Linked DNA regions of Tamandua tetradactyla. The protein of the gene in region 1 purifies or fractionates together with the protein of each later gene. This does not show direct contact. Links are inferred from orthologs where the notes say so. Each region holds a gene or a part of one and is shown on either strand. Other genes may lie near its edges.

Region 1 (10,362 bases):
ACTGAGTTGTATACTTGAATGTGATTAATATGGGAGCTTCTATGTTGTATGCATGTTACCACAATAAAAAATCTCTGTGAACATGGAGAGCTAAGAGCCAAAGATACCTGGAGAGCTGATACTGAGAGCAGATCCCTAGACACAGACATTTGAAGATACTGAAGGAACACTTGCCAGGGAAAGCCAGAAAGACCCACAGGAGCTGAGAGAGCCATTTGAAATCAAAAGCCGGGGGGAGAAGGACAGCAGACATTGCCATGTGCCTTGCCATGTGACAGAGAAACCCTGGACATGATCAGCCTGTCTTGAGTGACGGTATCCTCTTGTTAATGTCTTAATTTGGGCATTTTCATGGCCTTAGAACTGTAAATTGTAACGTAATAAATCCCCTTTGAAAAAGCCGATCCATTTCCGGTACATCACATTCTTGCAGTTTTAGCAAACTGAAACACTGTGTGATTGTATAAACCTCGTGACTAATATCCCCTTTATCTAGTGTATGGCTAGATAGGTAATAAAATAAAGACATGCATGAGGAAGAAATAAAGACATGCATGTCCTGACCTTTAGCAGTTAAACATGGAGATGAAGAGGATTTGGAGGCCAGTGGGCCTGGCTTCCAAATTCCAGCTCTGTCATTTTTACTCTGTAAACTGGGCAAATTTCTTTATCTCTCAGCCTCTGCTTCCAAATTTGAAAAAAGGATCTAGTGACAGCACTCAAAGAGCCATAGGAGCATTGATGAAATAATGCATATAAAGTAAGGTTTGAGTTACAATAAATGGTAGCGATTCTATCATACAATTTAATGCAATTATTGGCATTTAGTACAATACCTGGCACACAGTAGGCATTCAATAAATATTTAATAAATAAATGGATGAATGTTTATTGGTCTGCACCCCCCACTACCTTATGTACTTTCTGAGGGCAGGGACCATATTTTATTTCTATGTTCCCAGTTTCAAATACAGTGCCTGGTGCATGGGGGTACTTGATAAATGTTTATTTGCCTAAATGAGATAATGGATTTGAGCGGTCATCATGCATGGTGCTAAAGCCAGGAGGTGAAAGGATGATGGGGAAATTGATAATGGTGTCAGCTGATTCCCAGCATCCTGAAAGTGAGTCGACCAGACAATTGTGTGTGTCCTGATACGATGCCATGGGAAACACCCACAAACTTATGAAATATTTTGCCTGGAAATTGAATCTACATTAAATCAAGCCTCTAAAGCTGAGTAACAGTTTACTGAAATATGGGACATACAGATAGAGGAACATGTTAAATGACACTGTGAGGATGCATTCTAAATGCAAATGCAGGACATTCTATGGGACAAGTGGCCAGGTTTCTTAAAAGAAAAATTAATGCTATTGAAAAAGTATGATGTCCAAATAAAATTTGGAATGATGTCTAAACAAAAGCTTTTTAAAACATGGGTATGTTAAATATCTTTACGGTGCTGATGGTCTCACAGCATATGTATATGTCGAAACTCATCAAATGGTACCGTTAAATATAAACAATTATACCTCAATAAAGCTGCACTAAAAAGGATGGGAAGACTGTTACAGGTAAAGAGAGACTTAGGACACAAAACTGCCAAATGCAATGTGTGGCTATATTTTGGATCCTGATTAAAATAAGTTGTAAAAAGAAAAAAATAAATATTTTAAAAGGCGTTTTAAAAATATGGCCTAGCCATTAGACACTGTTGAAGAATTATTGTTAATTTTATTAGGTGCTATTACCTAACAGCATGATGGTTATGTGGAAAGAAACTTCTTCCTCAATTATAGATGCATAGTGAAATAGTCACAGGGGAAATGGCATGTTAACTGGGGTTTGCACTACAAAATCCTACAAAAATAAATATTAAAAAGGAGGAGAGATGAAACAAGACACGGTACAATCCGAAAGTTAACAAATCACAAAACTATAAAAAAAAAACAAAACCACAAAAGATCCTGGTTGAAGCTGGATGATGGAGGCATTCATCACACGGTACAAAGTAGAGATTATTTTCTTTACTTTTGTGTTTGAAATAAAAATGTTTTGTGCGGAAGTGAATGGCCGGCTGCAAAGGGCGGTACCCCTATCGGTTACCACCATTTTCACAGAAAGCTGAAGTGGGGTGTCCAGTTCCCTCCCCCGCGTGCTTGGCCGGCAGCCCGGCCCGGCAGAGACGGCAGGAACCTCCTGGAGCTTTTAAAACGGAGCCTCCTCTACCGGTGAGGTCGGGAGCCCCCGTGGCCTGGGTGCAATCCTCCGTCCGCAGCGGGCTGGGGTGCGGCTGCTCTCAGCCGAGGCCCGGAGAGGCGCTTCTCTCCCAACCTAAGCTCCGTATTTACGGTCCCTTCGCCGGCCCGGCCCGGCAGCACTGAGATGAAAGGGACAGTTCCGCCTGGGGAATTAATCATTAGCTTTCCTTCCTCGAATGAACAGACCAGTCTCCCCAAACCCAGGAAATGAAAGTCCAGCCAAGCGGTATGCCCAACTAGGAAGGAGAAGGCTTGTCATTCCATGGTGCATGCTCGCTTTGCAGTGGCTGGTGTCACCTACCTGGAGTGATCTAGAGAGCACCGACCAGGACTCTCGTCAACATTTCTTTTCCCAGTCCATGCCAGGAATTTCACCTTTAGTACTAAACGGGCCCTCAGGGATCTCAACCCCTGGATTGCAATTTGATCTGCCTCCAATTGAGAAGGTAATGAAAGCAATAGGCAGTGCCACCTGCACTGACAGGTTCGCATACAATCTCAAGGCTTTCATGGCACACATACACACGTTACCCCCTCCTCTGGCTACCCCCTCCCCACCAGAAACCATGGATTAACACCAGGCTAAACCCTGCATAGAATTTACCAGATCTAGAACTTTCATTCCTTTGAAACAAGCAAGGTCATTCCCCAGAGTCCTCTTTAAAATGTAAATGAGCATGGGAGGGACAAAATGGCTAGCCATCCAGTGGAAAGAGGTTTTCCTAGCAAATGGGAGATAGATCCTAGGAGCCTTTAATATACTGGGGGTTGGAGGAAGCAGAGTTTGAGGATGAAGAGGCTCCCAATTTTACCTTCAGCTGGGATAGGAATGTGTCAGGCAAAGAGTGCGCATAGCTAACTAACAGAGCACTTAGAATCACCTTGCGAATTGTGTGATGTCAATAACCTTGTGAATTAAGTGATATCAACATTTTTATGGATGAGGAAATCCAGACTTGGAGAGATAAAGTGACTTATCCAACCCAGCTAGTCGCAGAGCTGGAATTTGAACTCTCAGTCAAACTGAGAGCAAAGGCCGCCCACAGCATGGCTTGCCGGCTCTCTAAACCCGCTCATCTGATCCTTACAACTAGCTATTAATGTCCTTGTTTGATTAAAGAGGAAATGGAGGCAATTCACAGTGTTGCCCAAAGTCACACCTTGCCATCCACACAGGGAACCCCGCACGTTCCCTCCTCACCCTGGACAGCTGATGGGGGACGGCTCTTCACGACCCACCCTTGGGATCTTGGAGAAGGATTCAGACTTGCCAAGAAGTCTGATGAGAGCATCAGGCCCAACCTGTCCTCGCTGCCCCTAATTGTTTTCTAAGATCCTTTTTATTGAATTATCAGTGTGTAATGGAAGAGTCGATGAGCACTGCCACGGAACTACAAGGCCAGGGCTTGCTGGGTGGAAGAGAGCAAAGCCCTAAAGGCTCCCCGGGCCGAGCGATGGTATAAAATATGCATTTTTACATAACTGGGAGAAAAAAATAAACTGACAAGGCTGCCCCATGGGGGAAACGCCTCTTTCTGTATTTCCATTATCTTGTTTAATGCACAATCCGGGCAGGAGCCTCGGTGGGAAAGGAAATACTGGAGCCTTTTTGCTCCGAGCCTCCTGGTGGGTTGAGAGGCAGAGAGAGCCAAGATGCAGCAATCCAAATGGCCTGGGTGTGTGCTCAGAAACCCATTAAAACTGAGGGGACTGTGGGGTAGAGGAGCTGTAGCTTTAGGTGAAGAATTCCAAGCATGGCTTTCCCAAGGAGGAAGGGAAAGAGGTGGGTAGGCTTTTCAAGAGAACAACCTCTACACCAACCACATATTGAGCAGTTACTACTATGTATGTGCCAAGTACTCAGTTTAGTGATTTAGCTGTTCATTTCAATACGTTTATACAGGTGAACACAATGACTTGCCCAAGGTCACATGGCTAGGGCGCAGTGAACATACTGTTTTGTAGTTCTGACCCAAGCTTGCAGGATGGAGGGAAAGGAGGTGCTCTTCCCAAGTAGCCAAACCATGGCCACAGAAAAGGGAAGTTGTCCGACCTAACGTTAATCCTGTCTATTCTTTTTGCAATCCTAAAATTGTCTGGGAACAGAATTTTCAAGAGAAGGTGGTGGTGGCTGTGGTTTCTGTTAAGAGCCACAGTCTGGAAATGAGATCTTGGGTTTTAGTCTCAGCTTTAACATGATGTTAGGGAAGTTACTTGCAAATAACAGGTTTGGGTGATCTCTAAAGGGATCTCCTCCAGGTCAACATTAAAGGATGGTTTGAAAACTGCAGCTCCAGCTGGAAGACTGCCTGGCTTCCCAAGAGGGAAAGCATAATAGTTCAATGCAAGGGCCCTGAAGGTGGGTTCTGGTCCTCTGCCTTCTCTTACTGGCCTCCTTAACCTCTTTATACCTCAGTTGCCCCATCTATCAAATGGGAACAGTGACACTGTCCTTGGGGTGCTTTGAGAAGGGATCAAATGAGATGGTCAACTTCAGTCAAATGCTTAGCACAGTCCGTTCAATGCCTAGTACTATTATTATCTCTCACAGCCATGCATGGCTTTTATCTTACAGGAAACAGTGGCCTTATTAATTGCATGGGAAACTCGCAACAACCTAGGGGGGGACTTTGGTGACCATTATTCTCATTTGGAAGGTGGAGAAACTGAGGCTGGGAGAAGCGTTCCTGACCTAATGAATCCATTTGGTAACTCATTAACCGATAGAGACCTGCAGGTAACAAAACAGTACTAAATAAGAGGCAAGGTCTTTTCAAACTCCAGTCACCCACGGCGGGACTGGGATTCGAACTCTCTAGGAATCAGAGCCGTGCAGCCCCGAGTCCCTGCTGACCCTCCAACCTCCAACCTCACAGCGACTGGTGACCCTGTCAGCGCGGGGCCGAGGGGCGGGGCGGTGGCGGGACTGTGGGCGGGCTGCCCGCCCCCTGCCCGCCTGTGGAAGCTGTAGCCCGCGCCGCGCCGCTCATTGGCTGCAGCCGAGGCAGGTGCGTCTTCAGCCAATCAGCGGCGCCAGGGGCGGAGGCCTCGGGGCTCACCTGGCGGCGGCAGCGCTGTCGGCCTCAGTGGCGTCCCGAGCCGCGGACTACCTGTGAGCCTGATAAGTACTGTTAGACTCCAGCCCGGCCCAGCCCGGCCCAGCCCGACTCCACCTGACCCCGCTCGGCACCCGCCCGGCCCACCATGGGCGCTCCGCGCTGCAGCCTTTTCGCGCTCCTGCTGCTGCTTCAGGTACGTCGGTTCCCCTCGCTGTGAGGGGACACCTTCCAGTCCCCCGACCCGCTCCCAGGCCCCGCGTCCCCTCCTCTCTCCTGTCATCGACTTCCCCCTTTTCCGAGAAAGTTTGGGTCCCCTGCAGCAGAACGGCCTGGAAGCTGCTCGGCGCTCTGGACTCGGCGGAGGAGGGAGTGCGTGAGGGTGAGGGAGGCTTTGCCCGCCTCCTCCCGCATTTATCCGCGGCGGGGGGCGCCCCGAGCTGCCCGCGCTCCAGGGCCGGGAGTAGGTATGGGCTTGGGGCAGGCAGTTGGAGCATGGAGCATGGTGGGGCTCGGGATGCCGAAAAGGGGGAGCCCCGGTGCGAGTAAAAGAGAAGCCAGGAGTAGTGAGGCGAATCGCCGAGGTAAGGAAAGGGAGGTTCAGAGAAATAAAGGCACCTCCCGGGTGAAGAAAGGGGAGCCCATTAGGAGTGGGGCGCCCTGGGATAAGGATAGTGGGGTCAAGAAGGCTTGGGGCGCCTCCTGTGTGAGAACCTGGACTTTGGATTGGCGGCGTTTCCCGGTATAAGGAAAGTGGTGTCGGGAAGAGTCAAGACGCCTCCGGTGAAATGAAAAAGCATGAAAGAGACCGGAAGAAAGAGGGGACTAGGTCGTGAGGAGGTGACCCAGCGCGCCCCTTCTCCCCCTTTTCTCGAGTTCCCGGAGACTTGGCCGCTGCAGGTTTCGGGGAGCGAGAGGATGACGCCGCTGCCGGGGGTGGGGTGGGGGTGGGGTTGGAGGTGTCCTTGCACAATCCCGACGCCTCGAGCGAGGGAGGGGCGGCGCTGTGGGTTTCGGTGGGGGCAGGAGGGGACCCCCTCCAAGTAACCCCGGTCCTACACCTCTCCTCCCCTCCCCCAGGTCTCATCGAGGCTCTGCGAGGAGCCGGAGCCCTGCCGTCCTGGCTTTGGTGCGGAGAGCTACACGTTCCCGGTGCCCCGGCGGCACCTGGAGAGAGGCCGCGTCCTGGGCAGAGGTGGGGACGCGCATTACCGTGATTGACCTCTGCGGTTGGGGGGGTGGGGGGCACTTATTAGAGGTCTTCAATATGTGTCTCATACTGTCCTGACAACTTTAGAGATGGCCTGTCATTTCGGGAGGGAAAAGCCCGCTGGGAGGTGGGGGGTATTCCGAGCAGATCAAGGCTTGGAGGGGAGAGTCCACTGGCTCACGGTCAGCAAAACTGGGCTCTGACTCCCAGACATAGTTCTGCTCCATCTCTGGGATGACCGAGGAACCCTCACTTGGTTACTGGGGCTGTGGCTTTTGCTCATAGAGATGAAATCATTTCCATGCAGGTACCTCAAGGAATAATGGTTTTTGAAAAAAAAGTTCGGTGGCTGTGACTCAGGATGAAAATACACACAAACGCCCAATGCCCTTCTAGACCTTATCACTGTGATAGCCTGGTTTCTAGAGTTTGCTTTGTTCCAATTCACCCTTGCCCAGGGGTGGGAGCCAGGGAAGGATTGGTTTCTTTTCTAGTTTCACTGATTCCTAGGTGCTTATTTCTTATCAAACGTCTTTCTCCTCCCTCATGATCTTAGTTAACTGTGGGAGTATCATAACAGTAAAGAAAAGCCTTTTAGAAAGAGGAGCCACCACATTTCCCCTCAGGCATCCACTGTGTTTATTCTTCCAGTCCTTGACCAAGTGAAAAATATGATGCAGCAATCTTTTTTTTTTTAACTTTTTAAAAATTTTTTTATTAATTAAAAAAAATTACAAGAAAGAAACACAAACATTCTTGACATATGCTCATTCCATTCTACATATATAATCAGTAATTCACAATATCATCACAGTTGCTTATTCATCATCATGATCATTTCTTAGAACATCTGTGATTCAGCAATCTTAATTTTTTTTTTTGGACCTTTGGAAGTTGTCCCACAGCGGGTGGCATTTTCCCCCAGAGAAACTGAGGCTCAATTGATTAAACATATTTACCGAACCCCAGCTTTGTTGTGTGGAGCTTCTTTTTGGGTCAGAAAGAAAATGTTGTCTCACTGATATTGCGGCGGCTTGACCAATTTCTCAGTTCTTGCCTGTGCTGGGCACCAGGGAGTGGATAGAAAAGAGGCAGGAATGGGGACACTCGAGCCTTGGTCTCAGTATTTCATATTGTAGCAGGTTCCTGAGAATGTCCTAAGGCCTCCTTAGGACACTGGGACATGGGAAGTTAGGTGCCAAAGGGTGTGGGCAGCCTGGAGTATTTTGGTGGAGTCAATGGACAATGAAGACGTGCTTCTGGGAGGAGGCAGACTTTGCCCAGGCTTGAAGAGTGGGGCAGGTGTGTTTGGGGGGGGATGAACTGTGGATGGACACTGTTGGTGGTCTGTTTTCCTGTACCAAGACAATTGAGCACACTTGGTAGCTTCAAGGGTGGGTTGTTCTGTTACTACCCAACTCATAGTTTCTACCTCCCAAACTCATAGTTTCTGGCCAATAATAGCATTACATGTTAATAATTATTATCATTGTTGTTAGTAGCAGCTCCTGGTTTTCACTTTTGAACTACACTCTGGGGCAAGTGCTTTACATTTTACCTCATTTAGTCTTCACAACAGCCATCTGAGGGAGCTCAGACATTCAGTAATCTGCTCATGGAACCACAGTTGGGCTTTCTCCTGTCCTTTTTCTCTTCAGTCATTTCAAACAAAGGAAGCTGTTTGGGGAAATCCTGTGAAGAAGACTATCTGTGCCCTGGAGAACAGAGGTGCCGACGGGTGGGACCTGGGTGGGACCCCTTAGAGGAGATGGTGGTGGTAGAGATGGATCAGACCAGGTGGGAGGCAGAGGGCAGGGCTGTGGCTGGTGGCTTTTGCGGGAGAGGCAGCTTCAGCCAGTCCTTCACAGGCTTTTTGTGTGATTTGTTCCTCTTCCCTTTATAGCCACAGACCCCACCCCTACTCGACAGATCTCCTGATTTAACTTTTTGTTTGGCCTGTTTGCACCATAGGGTCTCCTTATTGAATCAATGAAGGATGGAAGTGTCTTTTGGAAAACGACACAGTTGACCTTAGGGACTAGCTTTGTGATTTAACAAGGCAGCCAGGGTTTGGGAAGGTGGTCTTGCTCTCACTGGACAGTCCAGGATAATGGAGGTCTAAGAGATTAGCACCAGGTTTTAACATTGGCTTTGGGGAGAATTTGCTGCATGGGAGCTGGAGAATATGGAACCTTTCATTTTTTTCCTCCTTGGGTGACTGTAGAGCATCGGTTTTGACCCAATTCAGGGGTCCTCAGGGCGTTTTGCTGGGGTCACTCCTGTGCCCTAGGGAATGGCTGATCTCACCATCTCAGCCTATTTATTCCATTGGTTTCTCTCCAGGTTCTAGAATGAAGAACATTAAAAAAAAAAAAAAAAAAACAACAAACCAAATGAGTTATTCAGAGCTTGTGATTAGTGTTTTCCTTTTCTTTAGGACTTTGGTTTGAGAAACGCAGTCTGTTAAGACAGTTTGAAATTTTAGCAGTATTAGCCTAGTGAATACAGCTTTAAGTTGAGTGGGGGTAGAGGTGGGGAGTATTGGGAACTGGACACAAGAAAAGCAGGCAGGCTTTTGATCCAATCCTTTCCTTGCTTTGCTTCCCCTACAGTCTGGCCTTGGACAAACAGGGCCTGTGTTTTGGGTTTGAGCTTCAGCTGCTTGATAAGTAACTAACTAACTCACAGGCACCCACATGTGTAGATTAAATACACCCATTTCCCCTCCTTTCTAAAAGATGTGATGAAAGGGTGGCAGAAGCAGTATCCAGGGCCTCTAATTAAACTGGGCTTAAAAAACAAATACAAAAAACCTGTTTGGGGATCGCCTTACATCATCAGATGTTTCCCCACCCTTCAGATTCTTAAGCATCACTTCCCCAATTACTCAGGTCTGTGCCAGGGGTGGATGCAGCCCTTACTAGGAAAGACTCATTGGCTGCCTTTCTGCCCCTGCCTTTGTGTCTCACCAAGAGCGGAGGCGGGAAAAGTCCTGGTCCTGGGCCCCCGCAGCCATTTAAGGAAAGCTGGATGCAGCTCCTTCCCCTTGGGGACTGCTGGACCTGCCCACCTTTCTTTGCCAGGTGGCTGTGGAACTCCCTGTCTCCTCTCCAGGGCTTTTCATTGGGTGAGCCTTTAGGAAGGAAAGGCTCACCTTGGTGTCTGTTACACTCTCTCTTCCAAGCGGAGCCCCAGATAAGGCAGACGCTGAAGTAATCGGCTCTCCCATCTCCCAGAAGCTGCCAAAAGCCTAAAATCCCCAAGAGGCAGCTGTCACAATTCAGACTCGACCTTTCTGGGTTTCTGTTCTGCCTTAACCCCCATCTCTCAGGACATTAGGCTTTCCAGGGAGTCGGAATGGGATCAGTAGGCTTGCTTAGTATAGTTCATTGAATAATAAAGTCTGTGAAAGATTCAGACTTGACTTTGTGCTACAAAATACATGACCTTGAATAAGTCACTTTATTTCTCTGAGCCTTAGTTTCCCCATCCATAAAATGGGGGAATAATAATATTTATGAGCTTGCTATGAGAATCAGATATGCATGTTCATTCATTTATTCAACAAATATGAATGTCTAATCAGATATGCATGTTCATTCATTTATTCAACAAATATGAATGTCTATTTTGTACCAGTGCTGGCTAGACCCTGGGATACAGTAATGAATGAAGGAAATAATGACAGAACAGAAATGTATAAAGATGAAAAGTCATTAAATGGTGGCTAATAATTTTTAGGGTTATAGTAGGCACTCATTTTGAAGAAATGAACGGATGGATGAATAGTCACTACCCCTCAGACCTTGGCTTTATTTTTTGCTCTCAAAC
Region 2 (10,356 bases), on another chromosome or scaffold:
CCTGTTGGTTCTGTTTCTCTAGAGAACCCTAACTAATACACATATCAACATACAAACACAAACATTCTTACCATATGATCATTCCATTCTACATATATATTCAGTAATTCACAATATCATCACATAGTTCTATATTTATCATCATGATCATTTCATAGAACATTTGCATCAATTCAGAAAGAGAAATAAAAATAAAAAGGAAAAAAAGTCATACATACCATATCCCTTACCCCTCCCTTTCATTGATCACTAGCATTTCAATCTACTAAATTTATTTTAACATTTGTTCCCCCTATTATTTATTTATTTTTAATCCATATATTTTACTAATCTGTTGATTACGTAGATAAAAGGAGCATCAGACACAAGGTTTTCACAATCACACAGTCACACTGTAAAAGCTATATTATTATACAATCATCTTCAAGAAACATGGCTACTGGAACACAGCTCTACATTTTCAGGCAGTTCCCTCTAGCCTCTCCATTACACCTTAATTAAAAAGGTGGTATCTATATAATGCATAAGAATAACCACCAGAATAACCTCTGACTCTCTTTGGAATCTCTCAGCCATTGGCATGAGAAGTGCCATAGTTTTGCATTTTTGCATTTCTCTTTAATGAATGGCTTAATAAAAGATAGCTGGATTCTCATATCTGCTCCCATAGCCCACTGACTTCCTGAAAGAATGCCAAGGTGCCCCAGACTACACTTTGAGAACTGTGGCTTTGACATGTAGCATTTGGGAGGAACTGGAAAGAATCATCAAAGCAGACTAAAGCATGAACAACCAACTTTGACTCAAGAAGAAATAGATGACCTCAACAAACCAATCACAAGTAAAGAAATTGAATCAGTCATTCAAAAGCTTCCTAAAAAGAAAAGTCCAGGACCAGACGGCTTCACATGTGAATTCTATCAAACATTCCAGAAAGAATTAGTACCAACTCTCCTCAAACTCTTCAAATAAATCGAAGTGGAGGGAAAACTACCTAATTCATTCTATGAAGCCAACATCACCCTCATACCAAAACCAGGTAAAGATATTGCAAAAAAAGAAAACTACAGACCAGTCTCTCTAATGAATATAGATGCAAAAATCCTCAATAAAATTCTAGCAAATCATATCCAACAACACATTAAAAGAATTATACATCATGACCAAGTAGGATTCATCCCAGCTATGCAAGGATGGTTCAACATAAGAAAATCAATTAATGTAATACACCGTATCAACAAATCAAAGAAGAAAAATCACATGATCATCTCAATTGATGCAGAGAAGGCATTTGACAAGATTCAACATCCTTTCCTGTTGAAAACACTTCAAAGGATAGGAATACAAGAGAACTTCCTTAAAATGATAGAGGGAATATATGAAAAACCCACAACTAATATCATCCTCAATGGGGAAAAATTGAAAACTTTCCCCCTAAGATCAGGAACAAGACAAGGATGTCCATTATCACCACTATTATTCAACATTGTGTTGGAGGTTCTAGCCAGAGCAATTAGACAAGAAAAAGAAATACAAGGCATCAAAATTGGAAAGGAAGAAGTAAAACTATCACTGTTTGCAGACAATATGATACTATACGTCGAAAACCCGGAAAAATCCACAACAAAACTACTACAGCTAATAAATGAGTACAGCAAAGTAGCAGGTTACAAGATCAACATTCAAAAATCTGTAGCATTTCTATACACTAGTAATGAACAAGCTGAGGGGGAAATCAAGAAACGAATCCCATTTACAATTGCAACTAAAAGAATAAAATACCTAGGAATAAATTTAACTAAAGAGACAAAAAACCTATACAAAGAAAACTACAAAAAACTGTTAAAAGAAATCACAGAAGACCTAAATAGATGGAAGGGCATACCGTGTTCATGGATTGGAAGACTAAATATAGTTAAGATGTCAATCCTACCTAAATTGATTTACAGATTCAATGCAATACCAATCAAAATCCCAACAACTTATTTTTCAGAAATAGAAAAACCAATAAGCAAATTATTCTGGAAGGGCAGGGTGCCCCGAATTGCTAAAAACATCTTGAGGAAAAAACACGAAGCTGGAGGTCTTGCGCTGCCTGACTTTAAGGCATATTATGAAGCCACAGTGGTCAAAACAGCATGGCATTGGCATAAAGATAGATATATCGACCAATGGAATTGAATAGAGTGCTTAGATATAGACCCTCTCATCTATGGACATTTGATCTTTGATAAGGCAGTCAAGCCAACTCACCTGGGACAGAACAGTCTCTTCAATAAATGGTGCCTAGAGAACTGGATATCCATATGCAAAAGAATGAAAGAAGACCCGTATCTCACACCCTATACAAATGTTAACTCAAAATGGATCAAAGATCTAAACATTAGGTCTAAGACCATAAAACAGTTAGAGGAAAATGTAGGGAGATATCTTATGAAACTTACAATTGGAGGTGGTTTTATGGACCTTAAACCTAAAGCAAGAGCACTGAAGAAAGAAATAAATAAATGGGAGCTCCTCAAAATTAAACACTTTTGTGCATCAAAGAACTTCATCAAGAAAGTAGAAAGACAGCCTTCACAATGGGAGACAATATTTGGAAATGACATATCAGATAAAGATCTAGTATCCAGAATTTATAAAGAGATTGTCCAACTCAACAACAAAAAGACCGCCAACCCAATTACAAAATGGGAAAAAGACTTGAACAGACACCTCTCAGAAGAGGAAATACAAATGACCAAAAGGCACATGAAGAGATGCTCAATGTCCCTGGCCATTAGAGAAATGCAAATCAAAACCACAATGAGATATCATCTCACACCCACCAGAATGGCCATTATCAACAAAACAGAAAAGGACAAGTGCTGGAGAGGATGTGGAGAAAGAGGCACACTTATCCACTGTTGGTGGGAATGTCAAATGGTGCAACCACTGTGGAAGGCAGTTTGGCGGTTCCTCAAAAAGCTGAATATAGAATTGCCATACGACCCAGCAATACCATTGCTAGGTATCTACTCAAAGGACTTAAGGGCAAAGATACAAACGGACATTTGCACACCAATGTTTATAGCAGCGTTATTTACAATTGCAAAAAGATGGAAACAGCCAAAATGTCCATCAACAGACGAGTGGCTAAACAAACTGTGGTATATACATACGATGGAATATTATGCAGCTTTAAGACAGAATAAATTTATGAAGCATGTAATAACATGGATGGACCTAGAGAACATTATGCTGAGTGAGTCTAGCCAAAAACTAAAGGACAAATACTGTATGGTCCCACTGATGTGAACCGACATTCGAGAATAAACTTGGAATATGTCATTGGTAACAGAAACCAGCAGGAGTTAGAAACAGGGTAAGATAATGGGTAATTGGAGCTGAAGGGATACAGACTGTGCAACAGGACTAGGTACAAAAACTCAAAAATGGACAGCACAATAATACCTAATTGTAAAGCAATCATGTTAAAACACTGAATGAAGCTGCATCTGAGCTATAGGTTTTTTTTTTGTCTGTCTGTTTGTTTGTTTGTCTTTTTTCTTTTTTTTTTTACTATTATTATTATTTTTATCTTTTTTCTCTATATTAACATTCTATATCTTTTTCTGTTGTTTTGCTAGTTCTTTTCCTAAATCGATGCAAATGTACTAAGAAATGATGATCATGCATCTATGTGATGATATTAAGAATTACTGATTGCATATGTAGAATGGAATGATTTCTAAATGTTGTGTTAATTTCTTTTTTTTCTTTAATTAAAAAAAAAAAAAGAAAAAAAAAAAAGGAGACTAAAGCTGCAGCCTGGGAGGAAAATCAGAAGCACTTGGTGCCTTGGAGGGGGAGTGAAGAAAGCATTTCAAGGAGGAGAATGAACAAATGCCACTAATGGTACAAGTCAGTTGAGGACTAAGATTGATTACTGGATTTGGCAATGTGGAGGTCATTGGGACCTGGATAAAAGCAGTTACGATGGGGAGGTGAGTGCTAAAGCCTGCCTGGAGTATAGTATAAAGGGTACTTGGTCAGGTCACTGTCCCCCAAACTAGGCTAATTTTCCCCCAAATCTATTTATATCTCCAGCCCCTGGCTTCACACTCTCTCCCACCCCCCTCCATTTTTTTAGTAGTTTACTTGTTTTAACACCTGCCTCCTCCACCACATTTTAAGTTGTGTGAGAACAGAGATCAAGTCAATTTTTTATTCGCTGATGCTTCCTCAGCATGTAGCAAATGCCCAGGACATGGTGAAGGCTCGTTTCCTCCAGGAAGCTTTTTCAGATTTTTTTGGAGATAGGGAACTGACTTCCCTTAGCTTAAGGGACACACTGCAAGTCTCTCATTTGGACCCTTCTTCCCAAACAAACCCTGCACTTTGATCTTCAATTCTAGTTTTATTTATGATGAACTCTCCACCTGGAAGACTTCATTTCTCTCTTTCGAAATCTTATCCATTCTTCAAGATCAATGACAGTCACTCATTCATTCAAGAAACAGTTATCTACCATTTGACTAGTCTCTGCCCTTGAAGAATGTCTCAGTTTGTTGTGGGACCCAGATGTATAAATGCAGGTAGGTAAAATACAGCAAGGGAAGTCAGGGCCCTGCAGTTAGAAAGGCCCCATGCTTAGAAAGACCTGATGCTTGGTTTAATGCTCTACTGTCACCCTCTTGAAATTCTTAATTTGTGCAAGGGACCCCACAAATAAAGTAGCTGGTCCTGAGTGAAGTGAGGGATATACAAAATTATGGAACATAATCCTTTTGCTTTTTCTCTTGATAGGTGAAACAAATATTTATTGATTGATTACCATGTTCTGAGGTAACCAGGTGAAGTGGGGGAAGGCATGGCCACTCCCAGCAGAGGGGACTACTGGAGAAAGACCCTGAAGCCAGAAACAGCCTGCGGTGTAGCAGGACCAGAAGGGCCTTATCAAGATATGCCTTTTGCTTAAATATCTTTCTTTCCTTCCCTCATGATTCTATTGTCCTTTGTCAGCATCTCTTAACTAGCACAAACCCATCATACTTTGAGTTACATTGGGCAGTTTACCCAGACATGTTCACTAGACAGGCATTGTGCTAGAGGACACGGCTTCCATCCTTCCGAAGTTTTCATTCCTTGGAGGAAGAGGGAGATGTTAATAATAGATGGTGAGCATGTTGAGGGTAGGTCTCTCGTACACAGCTTGCTCAGTGCAGAGTCAGCAATGGATATCGTTACTTTCGGATTCAAAGGCCAATGCTGAAATCAACCTTATTCATCATCCCAGGAGGAGAAACATTATCAGGGTTTCCTATCTCAGGTTAATTAGCAAGCTGTAGTCATTTTTGTTGTTGTTTGCTTTGTAGTATTTTCTTTTTAGGAGTATTCACCGTGAAGATAAGGAACATAGGGTGGGAATAAAATCTTCTAAATGGTCAGAGGGATAGGGATAGAATCTAGGTTTCTTAAGTTTATGTCGGTTTCTATTACACTCTGCCTTACACTGCGGGACCTTTACTTAGCCACAGTTTCTCTTTTGGTAAAACCAGAGGGTGGACTCTGAGCACTTTTCTGGGACACTTGTGACGCAGGAGAGCGCTCCCAGGACCCGGAGGCGCCGCGCCCGGTCGTCGGGCCGCGGCCGGGGCGGGGCCTGAGCCTCACCTGTGCGCAGTGCGGTGACTCACCTCCTCCCCCCATCCCCCGCGGGGGCCTTCCAGGAGTCGCTGCTCCTCCTTCCTCTCAGGGTCACTCAGCCTGAGCGCCCACTAGGGGCCTGGGAGAAAGTAACTCTGGGGTGGGGACCGAGAGGAAGAGGTCCCGGCCTGGCCTCGCCAGGCTGTCTTCGCAGTCCGGATCCCTACAAAGCGGGAGTCGGGCAGGGCCAGGAAGCGCGGGCCTGGGGGCGGTGGCGGCGGGAGGCTCCGGGAAGAGCGCGTCGGAGGGAGGCGCCGGGAAGGGCGGGCGGGGCCCGGGCCACGGGGCGGGGGGCGGGGGCGCCTGACGGCCCATTTCCTCTTCGGAGCCGGACGGGAGAGAGACAAAGCGGTGGCCGTCGGCTTCGGGCTTCGGGATCCTCCTGCGCTCGCTCTGCTCGCCCCAGGTAACTCTCTTGGCGCCTCCCTTCGCGCCGGCACGGGCCCCTTGCAGGGGCTCTGGGGGTCCTCGGGCCGGGCCGCCCCTAGCGGGGCCCCGCTGGCGGGTGGGGTGCGGTATCCTCCGCCGCCCTGCCCAGGATTGGGCTCCGGGTGGGGCGCGAGGCCAGTCTCCGGCCTCTGGCCCGCAGCCGCTTTCCCTGCGTGGCCCCCGTACCGCGGCCTGGCCGGGCGGGGCCCGCGCTTCCCGGCCTCGGGAAGTTGAGGGGCCGCCGCGGCCGGAGGAGAGGAAGTCGCAGGCCTCGCGCAGCTCAGCGTATCCTGCCGGAAAAGTTTCTCCCGGTTTCTAAAGTTTGCTGGAGTGGACTCGGTGTGCGCGCCACGCCCGCGCGCGGCCCCCGGGGCCGCCGGCCTGGTAAAGAATGCCGGCGCGCTGTTCCCTGTGCGAGTGTGACCCGGGAGTTGAGTTTTCCAGTGGTGTTTATCCTTTGGTTCTGTGCTTTCTCTGGCCCCACCTCTCCGTCACCGGCCGCTAAAACTCCCCCGACTGTTGAACTGAGAACTTTTGCTGAGACCGCGCACCCTCATTTCCCGCCCCGAACGGATATAAAAGTTTAATTCTCCCTTTCCCTGACACAGTCTTGTTGATAAGGTGCACCACACCCGTGTGGACTTTTGGCGTGTACCGTTTATTGTGAAATTACTCAAGATTTGTGCTGGTCAGTTGGACACACCTAATTCAGATTCGTCCAAGTTTTCAAAAGTGGCATTAGATTCTTGTAGACTTTTAAAGGATCGTGTGTGTGTGTGTGTGTGTGTGTGTGTGTGTGGTGGTGGGGTAGGGGGTGAAGAGGTGGGGAGAAGCACTTGCTGGAAAAAATTTTGACGGAATGCCTAATTTTGGCTTGGCACTAAAGGCTTCCCAGTAATGCAGGCGTCAGTTGGTCCAAATCCAGGATTGACATCCTCTTGTGTCCTCCTGCGGCTTTGTAACATTTCTGCATTTGTTTTGTGTAGAATTTACAATAATTTCGAAAAGGTTGTGTTTTTAAGTCCCCGGTTAATCTAAGGACGTTTCATATTTTTGTTGAAGGAAGTGATTACATCATTGTATTGTGACAGGATAGACGTTTTGATGAGAGGTTGTTTTGTGTTTTACAGTGATTTTTAAAACGATTTGCAGGGCAGGCCACGGTGGCTCAGCAGAGTTCTCGCCTGCCATGCTGGAGACCAGGGTTCGATTCCCGGTGCCTGCCCATGCAAAAAACAAAACAAAATAAAAAAAAACAACAAAACGATATACAGGTGTGTGTTACTTTAAGAAAATGTGAACTTGTAAATTAAATTAATTCAAGTACGTTATTTTGTTTTACAAGAGGAATGAACCGAGGAGCTATCCTTAGCCTCTGCCCAGTTATTTACCCTTCTTGACTTTTATTAAGTTAAATAATTTTCCCCCCTCTTAAAGGGCTTAGGGTTGAATAGGCCATGTTCTCTGTTCCTAAGGGTTCACGGTGTAATATAAGGCAGACTGTGATAACTGCCTTAGCAATAATATTGAGAAACTACTGTGTATAGATAAAATATTATATAATATTTGCAATAAAGGAAGCTTGTGAGGACATGGGGAAGGGTAATTGGTTTTATTTGGAGAAGTCAGGAAAGGCTTCCAGGAAGGGATGAAATATTTGACTGGCCTTTGAAACTTGAGAAGGGTTTTGTCAGCTGAAGAGAGGGAGTGAGAAGCATGAAAGAACACAGGAGTTTGGGAGTATTGTGAGACAGATCTCCTGGTTTTCCTTATACTTTTGGTTACTACTTTTCAGTCTTTTCTTTTTTTAATCCACTTGTACCCAAGGTTTTATCCTGTGCATCTTGGTTTTTTTTTTTTAATTTATTTTGTATTATCAAACCAAAACAACATACAAACATGAACATTCTTAAAATACAAACGTTGCATGTATGGTGTATAATCAGTGGCTCACAGTATCATCTCATATAGTAGTATGTTCATAACCATGATCATTTTTTAGAACATTTGCATCACTCCAGAAAAAGAAATAAAAAGAAAAACTCACCATACCAAACCCTGTATCCTTCCCTTTCATTGACCACTAGTTTTTCCATCTGTTCAACAGATTTTAACCTTTGTCCCCCTATTTTTTTCTAAACCTCTTACCACTCCCTTTCGTTGTTCACTAGTATTTCAATCTACTCAATTTATCTTAACGTTTGTTCTCCCTATTATTTATTTATATTTAATCCATATTTTTTACTCATCTGTCAATATCGTAGATAAAAGGAGCGTCAAATACAAAGTTTTCACAGTCACATAGTCACTTTGTGAAAGCTATATCATGATACGTTCATCTTCAAGAAGCATGGCTGCTGGGACACAGCTCTACATTTTCAGGCACTTCCCTCTAGTCTCTGTAATGCACCTTAAACTAAAAAGGGGATATCTATAAAAGGCATAAGAATAACCTCCAGAGTAACCTCTCGATTCTGTTTGACGTTTCTCAGTCACTGACACTTTGTTTTATCTCATTTTTCTCTCCTCCGTTTAGGTGGAGAAGATTTTCTCAATCCTTGATGCTAAGTCCCAGTGTATTCTAGGATTTCTGTCCCACATTGGCAGGGAGCTTTACACCCCTGGGATTTATGTCCCATGTAGAGAGGGAGAAGGCGGTGAGCTTGCTTGTCATGTTGGCTGAGAGAGAGAGAGACCACATCTGAGCACAAAAGAGGTTTTCTAGGGGTAGATGACTCTTTGGCCTGATTTTAAGTAGGCTTGGTCTATCCTTCATGGGGATAAGTTTCATATGAATAACCCCCAAGATTGAGGGCTTGGCCTATTGATTTGATTGTCCTCACTGCTTGCTAGAATGTCAGGAATTCTCCAAATGGGGAGATTGAATTTTCCCCCTTTCTCACCATTCCCCCAAGGGGACTTTGCAAATACTTTTTTATTTACTGTTAAGATCACTCTTTTTGATTTATCAGGGCATCCTTTTGGACAAACCTACAAAATCTCATGCCCTATTCAAGGTTCCAGTACTTATGGTGTTCAATTAAACTGTCCATATAAGTTATATTAGGAAATGCTGTAGTCAATAAATTTTGTACCATATAAACATTTTTTTCTTTAGTCTCACACATAAGTTGACGTTTTAAAATATGAATGGCCACCTATTTTCGACACCCTGCAATATGGACATTCTTTTGTTCTTCCTCATGTAAAAACATTTTTTAATTTGTACATTTAGTCACTGTCATTATGTGCTCTAGACATTCCTAGGTTATACCATCTCAGTCTTTATCGTCTATCTTTCTTTCTGGCTTCATTTGTGCCACCAGCCCACCTCCCTCTATCATTCTCACATTCAGCTTCATTGACTGTACTAACATTATTGGGCTACAATTAGGTAGTACTGTGCTATCCATTTCTGAATTTTTAGTCAGTTCTGTTGCACAGTCTGTATCCCTTCAGCTCTCATTACCCAAAATCTTCCCTATTTCTATCTCTTGATGGCCTCTGTTCTTAACTGAAATTCTCCAAGTTCATTCATTAATGTTAGTTCATATCAGTGGGACATACAGTATTTGTCCTTTTGTTTCTGGCTAATCTCACTCAGCATAATGTTCTCAAGGTCCATCCATGTTGTTATATACTTTATGACTTTATTCTGTCTTCCAGCTGCGTAATATTCCATCGAATGTATATACCACAGCTTGTTTAGCCTCTCTTCTGTTGATGGACATTTGGGCTGTTTCCATCTCTTGACAATTGTAAATAATGCTGTTATAAACACTTGTGTGCTAATGCCTGTGTCTTTGCCCTCATGTCCTCTGAATAGATACCTAGCAATGGTATTGCCGGATCATATAGCAATTCTGTACTTAGCTTCCTGAGGAACTGCCAAACTGCCTTCTGCAAGGTTGTATCATTTCCATTCCCACCAGCAGTGGATAAGTGTGCTTCTTTCTCCACATCCTCTTCAGCACTTGTCGTTTTCTGTTTTATTGATAATGGCCATTCTGGTGGGTGTGAGATGTGATTTGCATTTCCCTAATAGCCAGGGAAGTTGAGCATCTTTTCATGCGCCTTTTATCCATTTCTGTTTCTCTTCTGAGAAGTGTCTGTTCATGTCTTTTTCCCATTTTGTAATTGGGTTGTCTTTTTATTGTTGAGTTGAACGATCCCTTTAAGGATTCAGAATACTAGACCCTTATCTGATATGTTGTTTCCAAATATTGTCTCCCACTGTGT
Region 3 (10,066 bases), on another chromosome or scaffold:
AAAAGACCTATGCAAAAAAATTGTTAAAAGAAATCACAGAAGACCTAAATAGATGGAAGGGCATACCCTGTTCATGGATTGGAAGACTAAATATAGCTAAGATGCCAATTCTACCTAAATTGACTTACAGATTCAACGCCAATACCAATTAAAATCCCAAAAACTTACTTTTCAGAAATAGAAAAACCAATAACCAAATTTATCTGGAAGGGCAGGGTGCCCCGAATTGCTAAAAGTATCCTGAGAATAAAAAATGAAGTCAGAGGTCTCATGCTACCTGACTTTAAGGCGTATTATGAAGCTACAGTGGTCAAAACAGCATGGTACTGGCATAAAGATAGATATACTTATCAATGGAATAGAATAGAGTGTTCAGATAGAGACCCTCTCATCTATGGACAATTGATCTTTGATAAGGCAGTCAAGCCAACTCACTTGGACAGAACAGTCTCTTCAATAAATGGTGCGTAGAGAACTGGATATCCATATGCAAAAGAATGAAAGAGGACACCCTATATAAAAGTTAACTCAAAATGGATCAAAGACCTAAACATTAGATCTAAGACCATAAAACTGTTAGCAAAAAATGTAGGGAAATATCTTATAAATCTTATAGTAGGAGGCAGTTTCCTATACCTTACACCTAAAGCAAAAGCATTAAATAAATAAATAAATAAATGGGAACTACTCAAAATTAAACACTTTTGTGCATCAAAGAACTTCGTCAAGAAAGTAAAAAGACAGCCTACACAATGGGAGACAATATTTGGAAATGACATATCAGATAAAGGTCTAATATTCAGAATTTATAAAGAGATTGTTCAACTGAACAACAAAAAGACAGTCAATCCAATTACAAAATGGGCAAAAGACTTGAACAGTCACTTCTCAGAAGAGGAAATACAAATGGCCAAAAGGCACATGAAAAGATGCTCAACTTCCTTGGCTATTAGAGAAATGCAAATCAAAACCACAATGAGATCATCTTACACCCACCAGAATGGCCATTATCAATAAAACAAAATGACAAGTGCTGGAGAGGATGTGGAGAAAGAAACACACTTATCCACTGTTGGTGGGAATGTCAAAGGGTACAAACGCTGTGGAAGGCAGTTTGGCGGTTCCTCAAAAAGCTCAATATAGAATTGCCATATGACCCAGCAATACCATTGCTAGGTATCTACTCAGAGGACATGAGGGCAAGGATACAAATGGACATTTGCACACCAATGTTTATAGCAGCACTATTTACAATTGCGAAGAGATGGAAATTGCCAAAATGTCCATCAACAGAGAAGTGGCTAAACAAACTGTGGTATACACATACAATGGAATATTATGCAGCCGTAAGACAGAATAAAGTTATGAAGTATGTAACAACATGGATGGACCTTAAGGACATTATGCTGAGTGAGATTAGCCAGAAACAAAAGAACAAATACTGTATGGTCTCACTGATATGAACTAACATAAGTGAATAAACTTGGAGAATTTCACTGGTAACAGAGACCATCAGGAGATAGAAATAGGGTAAGATATTGGGTACTTAGAGCTGAAGGGATACAGATTGTGCAACAGGACTGAATGTAAAAACTCAAACATATGGACAGCACAATACTACCTAACTGTAATACAATTATGTTGAGACACTGAATGAAGCTGCATGTGAGAATGACAGAGGGAGGAGGGCTGGGGGCACAAATGAAATCAGAAAGAAAGACGATAAAGACTGAGATGGTATAATTCAGGAATGCCTAGAGTGTATAATGATAGTGACTAAATGTACAAATTTAAAAAATGCTTTTGCATGAGGAAGAACAAAGGAATGTCATTACTGCAGGGTGCTGAAAATGGATGGTAATTAATATTTTTAAAATTTCAACTTATGTGTGAGACTAAAGCAAAAAATGTTTATTTGGTACAAAATTTATATTTTGACTAGTGCATTTCCTAATATAACTTATGTAGACAGCTTAACTGAACACCATAAGTACATGGAACCTTGAGTAGGACATGAGATTTTGTTGGTTTGTCCAGAGTGATGCCCCAATAAATCCCACAGTGATTTGAACAGTGAATTAAAAAGCATTTGCAAAGTTCCCTTTGGGGAATGGTGAGAAGTGGGGAAAATTCAACTTCCCCAAGTTGAATTCTTGATAGTCTCACAAGCAGTGTGAACAACCAAAGCTATAGGCTGAGCCCCCAATCTTGGGGTTTGTTCATATGAAACTTAACCCCACAAAGGATAGGCTAAGCCTACTTAAAATCAGGCCTAAGAGTCACTCCCAAGAGAACCTCTTTTGTTGGTCAGATGTGGCCTCTCCAGCCAACACAACAAGCAAACTCAGCACTCTCCCCTGTCTACGTGGGACATGACTCCCAGGGATGTGGACCTTCCTGACAACATAGGACAGAAATCCTAGAATGAGCTGAGACTCAGCATCAAGGGATTGAGAAAACCTCCTTGACCAAAAGGGGGAAGAGTGAAATGAGACAAAATAAAGTGTCAATGGCTGAGAGATTCCAAGAGGAATCTTCCGAGAGGTTATTCTGGAGGTTATTCTTACGCATTAAATAGGTATCACCTTGTTAGTCAAGATGTAAGGGAGAGGCTGGAGGGAACTGCCTGAAAATGTGGAGCTGTGTTCCAGTAGCCATGTTTCTTGAAGATGATTGTATAATGATGTAGCTTTCACAATATGACTGTGTGATTGTGAAAAAATTGTGTCTGATGCTCCTTTTATCTACCTTATCAACAGATGAGTAGAACATACGGAATAAAAATAAATAATAGGGGGAAAAATTTTAAAATAAATTTAGTTTGAAATGCTAGTGATCAATGAAAGGGAGGGGTAAGGGTCATGGTATATATGGATTTTTTTCTGTTTTCTTTTTATTTCTTTTTCTGAATAGAAGAATCACCAAGAAATAATCATGATGATGAATATGGAAGTATGTGATGATATTGTGAATTACTGTTCATATGTGTAGAATGTTAAGAAAGTTAAGAATGTTTGCGTTTGGTGTTTTTTGTTTTTAAAAAATTTAAAAAAAAAGAGAGAGAGAGAGTAGCTCATGAAGAGAGAAATAGATCAGAAGAGACATACATGCAGGCCTTTGGAAATGCAGAAGCCCCAGGAGACGCCAGGAGCTGAGAGAGCTGACAGAAGCTAGACAGGAACCAGAAGCAACACAGATGCAGACATTTAGAGTTGCTTGGAGTGCCAACAGAGAGAGCAGATGCTTAGTCATAGGTATTTGGAGATGCAGAGCCCAGCAGACGTCACCATGTGCCTTCCCATGTGATTCTAAGCAAGCCAAAAGGATCCACAGAAGCTGAGCGAGCTGTTTAATACCAGAAGCCATGAAAGGACACAGACACCAGTCATGTGCCTTCCATGTGACGGACTTCGATCTTCCTTCAGAGTAGAGGTATCTTTCTCTGGATGCCTTAGTTTGGACATTTTTATGGCCTTAGAACTGTAAACCTGTAACTTAATAAATCCCTTTATAAAAGCCATTCCATTTCTGGTATATTGCATTCTGGCAGTTTTAGCAAACTAAAATAATCGAGTATTTTTTCATTGATTTAAAGTCCACTTGTATTTCTTCTCTATGAACTATGTGCTCATGTCCTTTGCCTATTTATTGTATTTTTTAAAATTAATGTTTAACAATAAAAATATGACTTTCTTAATGTCATTTGCTCAAGAACCTCCTCAGAGGGAAGAGGTGCCTTCAGATAGGTGTTCAGGGTGCTACACAATCACACTCAGCTCCCTCTTCTGACTCATAACTGCACAATACCACTATCTGTTCCCAAGGAAGGGTCCCTTTGTGGTCTCAACATCCTGCACGTCTCCCACAAATGTGTTTGCTCTCCTATTCCTTCCCTGTGGGGGACTCTCTTCCAGGTTAAACCCGACCAGTCCTTCAGAACCAAGCTTAATTTCACCTCCTCCGGGAGCATTTCTGAATAACCAATTCCCACACTGCATACAGTCTCATTTTCACATGAGCCTGGAAGGCTGGGCCTGGCACTTGCCCAGAGCTAGCTAGCTTCCTGCTCTGTCCATGCTCAGAGTGTCCGAGTATCTGAGTGTCTGAGTGAGGAGTGTGTTTCATTCACTCATTTGACATTTACTGAATGCATATGTGAGCTAGATACTATTCCAGGCACTGGTCCAGACGCTGGAGACATGCCAGTATATGAGGCAGACAAGGTCTCTCCTGTCATCCCACTGACGTTTCAGTGTGGGTGGGGCTGGGGGACAACTAATGCACAGCAAACAAACATGACAATAAACAAACACGCAACCAAGGTCAATTAAGTGCAATAAGTCATGGAATAGACAGTGAAAGAAGGGGAAGAGTCTCCTTTGAACAGAGGGCTCAGGAGGTGGCTCCCTGGGGGATGATGTCAGAGCAGAGACCTGAACATAAGATCCAGCTGTGTAGAGCCCTACAGAGCCCTGACCAGAGGCCCCACCTGGCTGGTCCGCTCTTCAAAAGATGGTCGAGGGATAGTTCAGCCCCCAGCACCCCTTCTTTCTGTCACTTGGACAGGATTTGAAGGCAGAAGCCTGTGATCCGTGCAACTTCAGGTGCCGGGACTTTGCCCTCTGGCCTCATATCCCAGCTGCAAACTTAGAAACGCCCCTAGCCCACCTGAGCAGATCACGTGGCCGGAGTTATCCGTCTCCCAGGTGCGCGGATGCAGCCAGGCGTTACTAGAGCAGCTACTAGGTGCTAGGGTGTAAGTAAGCACTTCATACCACTGTTATCTCGTGTAATCGATGCAACAATTCCGTGTAGTCCTGATGATAAACTTCGTTTTACCGAGGAAGTAACTGAGTCACGGCAAATGGAAGTGACCGTTTAGGATTGTGAGGTTCACAAAGAAGCACAGTTCCTGGGGGAGAGAAATTCTGCCGTGGGATTCACGAGGTGTTTACTGGGGTACATGGGGTGCGCGACTGTTCCCAGAGTTTGTCAGGTCTAGCCGCGGGTCCTCAGGCTGTCGGCACTTCCATCAGCAACACACCTCCAATCCGGCCGGGGCCTCGGGGCAAAGGGGCGCGAGGCGGGCGCGCCCGGGCGGGCGGGGTGGGGGCGGGGAAGGCGCGGGGACAAAGGCCGCGGCCGCAGCGCTCTGGTCGTCCCGTGCGGCAGCGAACTCCTGGGGCCGGGCCGGAACTCCAGGCGCCCCGAAGCTTAACGCGCGCTCGCGCCGCGAGGAGCCCGCGAGGCGATGGAGCGCTCTGGGGAGCTGCAGGGGCCAGCGCAGGCCCAGCCCGCCTGCCCGCCGCCCCCTCCGCCCCCGCCGCCCCCTCCCCTGCCTCCTCCCCGCCCCGCGGCGGCGGCGGCGGCAGCGGCTCCGCGCTTGGGGAACATGGCGGCGGCGGCGGTCGGACGGGACACTTTACCTGAACACTGGTCCTACGGCGTATGCCGGGACGGCCGCGTCTTCTTTATCAAGTACGGCGCGGGGATGCGGGATGTGGGCAGGGCGGGCTGCTGAGCGTGCGGGCCCGCGGGCGGTGGCGGCGCTAACAGGTGCACCTCTCTCCCCACAGTGACCAGCTCCGCTGCACGACCTGGCTGCACCCGCGCACCGGGGAGCCCGTCAACTCGGGCCACATGATCCGCTCAGGTGGGCTACGGGCCGGCGGGGTGGGCGCTCTCGGGAGCCGCGCGTCGCGTCTACCCGAGTTTGACCCGAGTTTTCTCACGTTTCCGCAGACCTGCCCCGCGGCTGGGAGGAGGGCTTCACGGAGGAGGGCGCCAGCTACTTCATCGAGTGAGTGAGTGGGGGCGCGGCTGCGGCGCCGGGGTCTGGGGAGGCCTCACCGCGCCTCGCACCTGCGCGCCTGGGGGCGCGGGCCGTCCCTGCTGGGCGCCCCCTGCCCCTCCTTCTAGCCCCGCCTGGGCGCCGGGCGAGTTGGCGCGCACAGCGCGGCGGCCGCCCGCGTCGGGTGTTTTTGTGTGCCGGGGCTGTGTGGCGGGCTCCGGGAGAAGGCGGGCTGGAGTCCGCAGCTCCGGTGTGGGACCGGCGCGGTGGTCTGGGCGGGGGCAGGCGCTGCAAACTCTGCGTCCTGGACCACGCAATCCGGCGGGATTCGCGAGCTGAGTGTGAGGGGCCGGACACACCTCCCCGCCCGCGTCCGCGCGGAGAGGAGTGGGAGCCCGGACCGGGATGGAGCGGGGCGGGGTGGAGAGAGTAGAACAAGAAATTCGGCCCAGGATACCGAGCCTGAGAAGGCGACCAAGGGAATTTCGCTTGGAGAGGCCTTCTCCTTTGGCTCTGTCTTCTGGGACCGTCGAGAAGAGTCGGAACCGTTCCTCTTCCCCTCCCCCCACCTCTGGCGGGCCTGTGGGGATTGGGTAGGGGTGGGGAGGGCAACCGACCAACCAATAAAATTCCTCAAACCTCTCTTTTAGTCGGCGCTGAACCCGACACTTAACTCCCGCCTCGGCTAGTCAAGCAGTAGGTTTTCCGCAAAAACCTTGGAGCGTTTCCGCACCGGGCAGGTTAGCACCGCAGATATGGGTGTGTAGAAATCAGATCGAGGAACATTAAGTTCACGCGCCGTCCACATTCTAACGCCACTAGTGCTTTTACTTCTCGCTCCAGGGCATGCGCCTGAGCTACAGCTTTTCTTACTTTGTCAGCTCCTTTGTGAGCTCCGTAAGGGCAGAAACTGCTTTTGATCCTTTGCCCCAGTGCCTGGCATGGAGTAGGCACTCGGTAAATGTTTGTTCATTGAAGGAATAAACCAGCCAAAGGTCTTGTCGGTGGGCTGACTGGAACTGGGAGTACTTTCCGGGAGTAAGTCAGAATTCCCTTTTCACCAACTTGAAAACATTGTTAGTGAGTAGGGGGACAGCACAGTTGAAGCTGAAATGGTCCCAGAAAATCTCGGAGCTTCCCTCCAGGGTTTGGACTCCAGTGGGAACCCCCACACTTGTTAGTTGGTTGAAACACTGATGGATGAGAGGACTTAGGGCCTGGCTGTGGTCCTGTCCTCCTGCCTAGCTGGGTTGTGAAGGGGAGATGGGGAAGTTCGCTGAGGGTGTCAGAACCTCTCTGTTAAAATGGGCTCATAAGTGGGTCAACTGTTATTTATTAAACTCCCCCTATGAACCAGCATCATAGCTCTAGGTGTTGGGGCCACAGAAGTGAACCAAACAGACCAGGTCCAAGTGCTCATGGAGCTTGCAATCTTGTAGTTAGTAAATAAATAGATAGTGTTAACTGCCATGCAGAAAATTTAAATAAGGTATGTGATAGCAAGTGACTTCTAGCTTAGTGGAATTGGATGACAGTGATGCTGAGGTGGAAAAGCATTCCAGGAAAGGGGAACAGCCAGTGCAAGTGCCTAAGGCACAAAGAGCCTCATGTCCAAGGATCAGAAAGGCCAGTGTGGCTGGAATACAGCAAACAGGGAAAGAATGGTATGAGAAGAGGTCAGAGATAGGAGAGAAATAATGATGTAAGTCTCTGTGATCCAGGGTAAGGAGATTTTGGTATTCTAAACCCAGCAAGAAATCACTGGAGGGTTTTAAGTAGAGGAGTGATATGATTAGATTTGCAATTTTAAAAAGATCACTCTACCTTCTGTGAAGAGACTGAACTGTTGGTAGGCAACTGCAGGGAAGCAGGGGAGCAGTGGAGACAGTTACTATAGCTCAGGTAAGAGGTGATGGTGGCTTGACTGAGGATGATGGCACTGGACATGGAGAGAAGTGGCCAGGTTCAGCTTGCATTTAGGAAGTAAAATCTATAGATCTTCCTACTGTATGGGATATAGTCTCTAAGGAAAAGAGAAGAGTAAGATGACTCCTAGATTTGGGAGAGGAGCAGGTGTGAGGTGGTGGAGAATCATGAGCACTTATTTTTCCCTGTTACCTTTAAGATGTGTATATACCAGGTAGATATATGTATCTGAACCGTGGCAAAACGAGGACTGAGTGGGTATTTTAGATGATATTCAAGGTCAGGGGGGATTGGAGGAAATCACCTAGGAAGGGAGTGTAGACAGAAAAGAGAAGACACCTTAAGCCTTGGGACATGGCAGCATCTGGAAGTTAGGAAAAGAGGCAAATCCAGCAAAGGAGACTGAGAAGGTAGGAAGGTAGGAGAGAACTCAGGAGAATGAGCAGACAGAAGCTTCAAGGGCAAAGCCCGAATGGAGTAGGTGAAAGAGAACATATGAAGAGGGGAAAAGGAGTCAGTATGTATAGGCCAATCTTTCAAGTAGTTTTATGGGGAAGTAGAGTTGGGGTATTATCTAGCATCTGGAAAGTGATCTGGGTTTAAGGGAGATTTTGTGTGTGTCCTTTTTTTTTTTTAAGTGGGAGGTCCTATAGCATGTTTTTGTTATGATGGAAATGATCCACTGGAGAGGAAGAAAGTGATGATGCAGAAAAGAGGTGAGATATTGCTGGACTAGAGATCCCGAGGAGGCAAGAATGGGATCCAGAGTATAAATCTCTACTGGTCTCAGACAAGTGCAGGGCACTTTTGATGGGAGGAAAGGCTGCAAGCTCTGGCGCCAGTGCAAGGAGGCCCCTAGATGTGGTGGATGTTCCTGTAGAATAGTTTCTGTCTTTTCCATGAAGCATTAGGCAAGGGCCCTGAGCTGGGCTATTGAGGGGGTGTGCAGACTTCAAGCCACTGTGGCAGCCTCACGCCCTTCTTCTCTTGCTGACTGTTCTATGATAACTCTGTTTGTAAAGTCCCTGGTGATTAATAAGCCCTACCCCCCAGGGCCTCGCTGCAACCTCCCAGGCCTAGGGGAAAGCAGTGTGTGAGGGCATCCTCTACCATTAAAGGCAGACTGTGTGCGGAGGAAGGGATCCTGGTGGTAGCTGATTTTATTTTCTGCCTTCTTCCTTGGCAATTTCTTGAGAGACTAATTAATTGTTCTCCTTTTCCTGACATTAAAAATGTTTTGCGTCAGTTTGCTTTCTCAGATTTGCTGTGAGCATTTTTGAATGTCTGAGATTGATTTTCTTTTCCTCTTTTTTTTTTTTTTTTTGTGGCCTCCTCTACTATGGCTCCATAAATTAGGGGGACAAAGAATTGCCATGACTAATTTTTTTTCTCCAGTTGAATTTTGGACAGAAACGCTGTATGACGTTTTCAGGATGCATTAGTTGCTCCTGGTATTTAGTAGATACTGTAATACTCTCCAGAGTCCATTTCTTGAAGCAGAAAATCTTGAGCTAAGGCAGTTGGATTTTAGTTTTGGTTTCTGTACTTTGGGTTCAATTTTGGATTAATGAGGGACAAAACATATACGGAATCTGCACCTTTTTCTCCCAATTCTAGACTAGGTGGTGCTGACATTCGCTTTAAAAAGACTTTTTGTTCACTGAGACTTCTCTACTTTCCAATGAGCCCCTCAGCCAGCTAGCAAGATATAATAATAATTGTAATAATAGTGTCATTAATGGCAATAAGAATAGTAGTAGCAATTACATAATAGCCTAATTGTCTTTGTTTGTGGGGGCTGATATGACAAATACCATGCACTGGTGGGCTTAAACAACAGGAGTTTATTGGCTCACAGTTTTGGAAGGCAGAAGTCTGAACTCAGGGTGTCCATCAGGCGGTGATTTCTCCAGAGCCTGCAGTGTTCTGGTGGCGGCGCCCCGCAATCACGTGGTGATCTCCCTGGCCGGCTTCTCTCATTTCTGGCTTCTTTTGATTTGTGGATTTTACTTCTGCATCCAATTTCCTTTGCTTATAAGGCTTCTGCCATATGAGTTAAGGTCCGCCTTGATTGGCCTCAGCCGTATAAGCAGGGGAGTGGGTGACTGAGAACCTGTCTGGAGAGTCTGGGTGTCAGGACTGGCACGAGCCAAGGGTCCAAGTCCCCTTAAGGTGGGTCATTCTTCTGAAGATAATGCCAGGTGTGTAGGGGGTGTGCTTGTGGTTCAGCAAATCCATTCTCTAGTCTGAAATTAAAGGGAGAAAGGAGGAATTGGAGAGTGAGGCTGAACTGTGTGTGTCAGAATGTCCAAGTAGGGCTTCTGGATTCCTAACTGGCCTTAGGAACCA

Evidence for each region.
Region 2: the proteins of CDH1 (region 1) and CTNNA1 purify together in Homo sapiens (affinity purification with western blotting; 10 studies listed by BioGRID and IntAct, with this or other methods). This does not show direct contact. The link is inferred for Tamandua tetradactyla from reciprocal best matches to the Homo sapiens genes CDH1 and CTNNA1.
Region 3: the proteins of CDH1 (region 1) and PLEKHA7 purify together in Homo sapiens (co-immunoprecipitation; 3 studies listed by BioGRID and IntAct, with this or other methods). This does not show direct contact. The link is inferred for Tamandua tetradactyla from reciprocal best matches to the Homo sapiens genes CDH1 and PLEKHA7.

What each region holds. Positions count from the first base shown.
Region 1 is NC_135342.1:62,713,143-62,723,504, forward strand, and holds the start of CDH1 (cadherin-1), read left to right. Parts: upstream 1-5,341; 5' UTR 5,342-5,469; coding exon 5,470-5,517; intron 5,518-5,949; exon of another isoform or gene 5,950-6,119; coding exon of another isoform or gene 6,120-6,161; intron 6,162-6,401; coding exon 6,402-6,516; intron 6,517-10,362.
Region 2 is NC_135346.1:18,440,041-18,450,396, forward strand, and holds the start of CTNNA1 (catenin alpha-1), read left to right. Parts: upstream 1-5,961; 5' UTR 5,962-6,094; intron 6,095-10,356. UniProt on the Homo sapiens protein: Associates with the cytoplasmic domain of a variety of cadherins. The association of catenins to cadherins produces a complex which is linked to the actin filament network, and which seems to be of primary importance for cadherins cell-adhesion properties.
Region 3 is NC_135334.1:92,391,186-92,401,251, reverse strand, and holds the start of PLEKHA7 (pleckstrin homology domain-containing family A member 7), read left to right. Parts: upstream 1-5,372; 5' UTR 5,373-5,392; coding exon 5,393-5,478; intron 5,479-5,576; coding exon 5,577-5,653; intron 5,654-5,742; coding exon 5,743-5,800; intron 5,801-9,083; exon of another isoform or gene 9,084-10,066. UniProt on the Homo sapiens protein: Required for zonula adherens biogenesis and maintenance. Acts via its interaction with CAMSAP3, which anchors microtubules at their minus-ends to zonula adherens, leading to the recruitment of KIFC3 kinesin to the junctional site.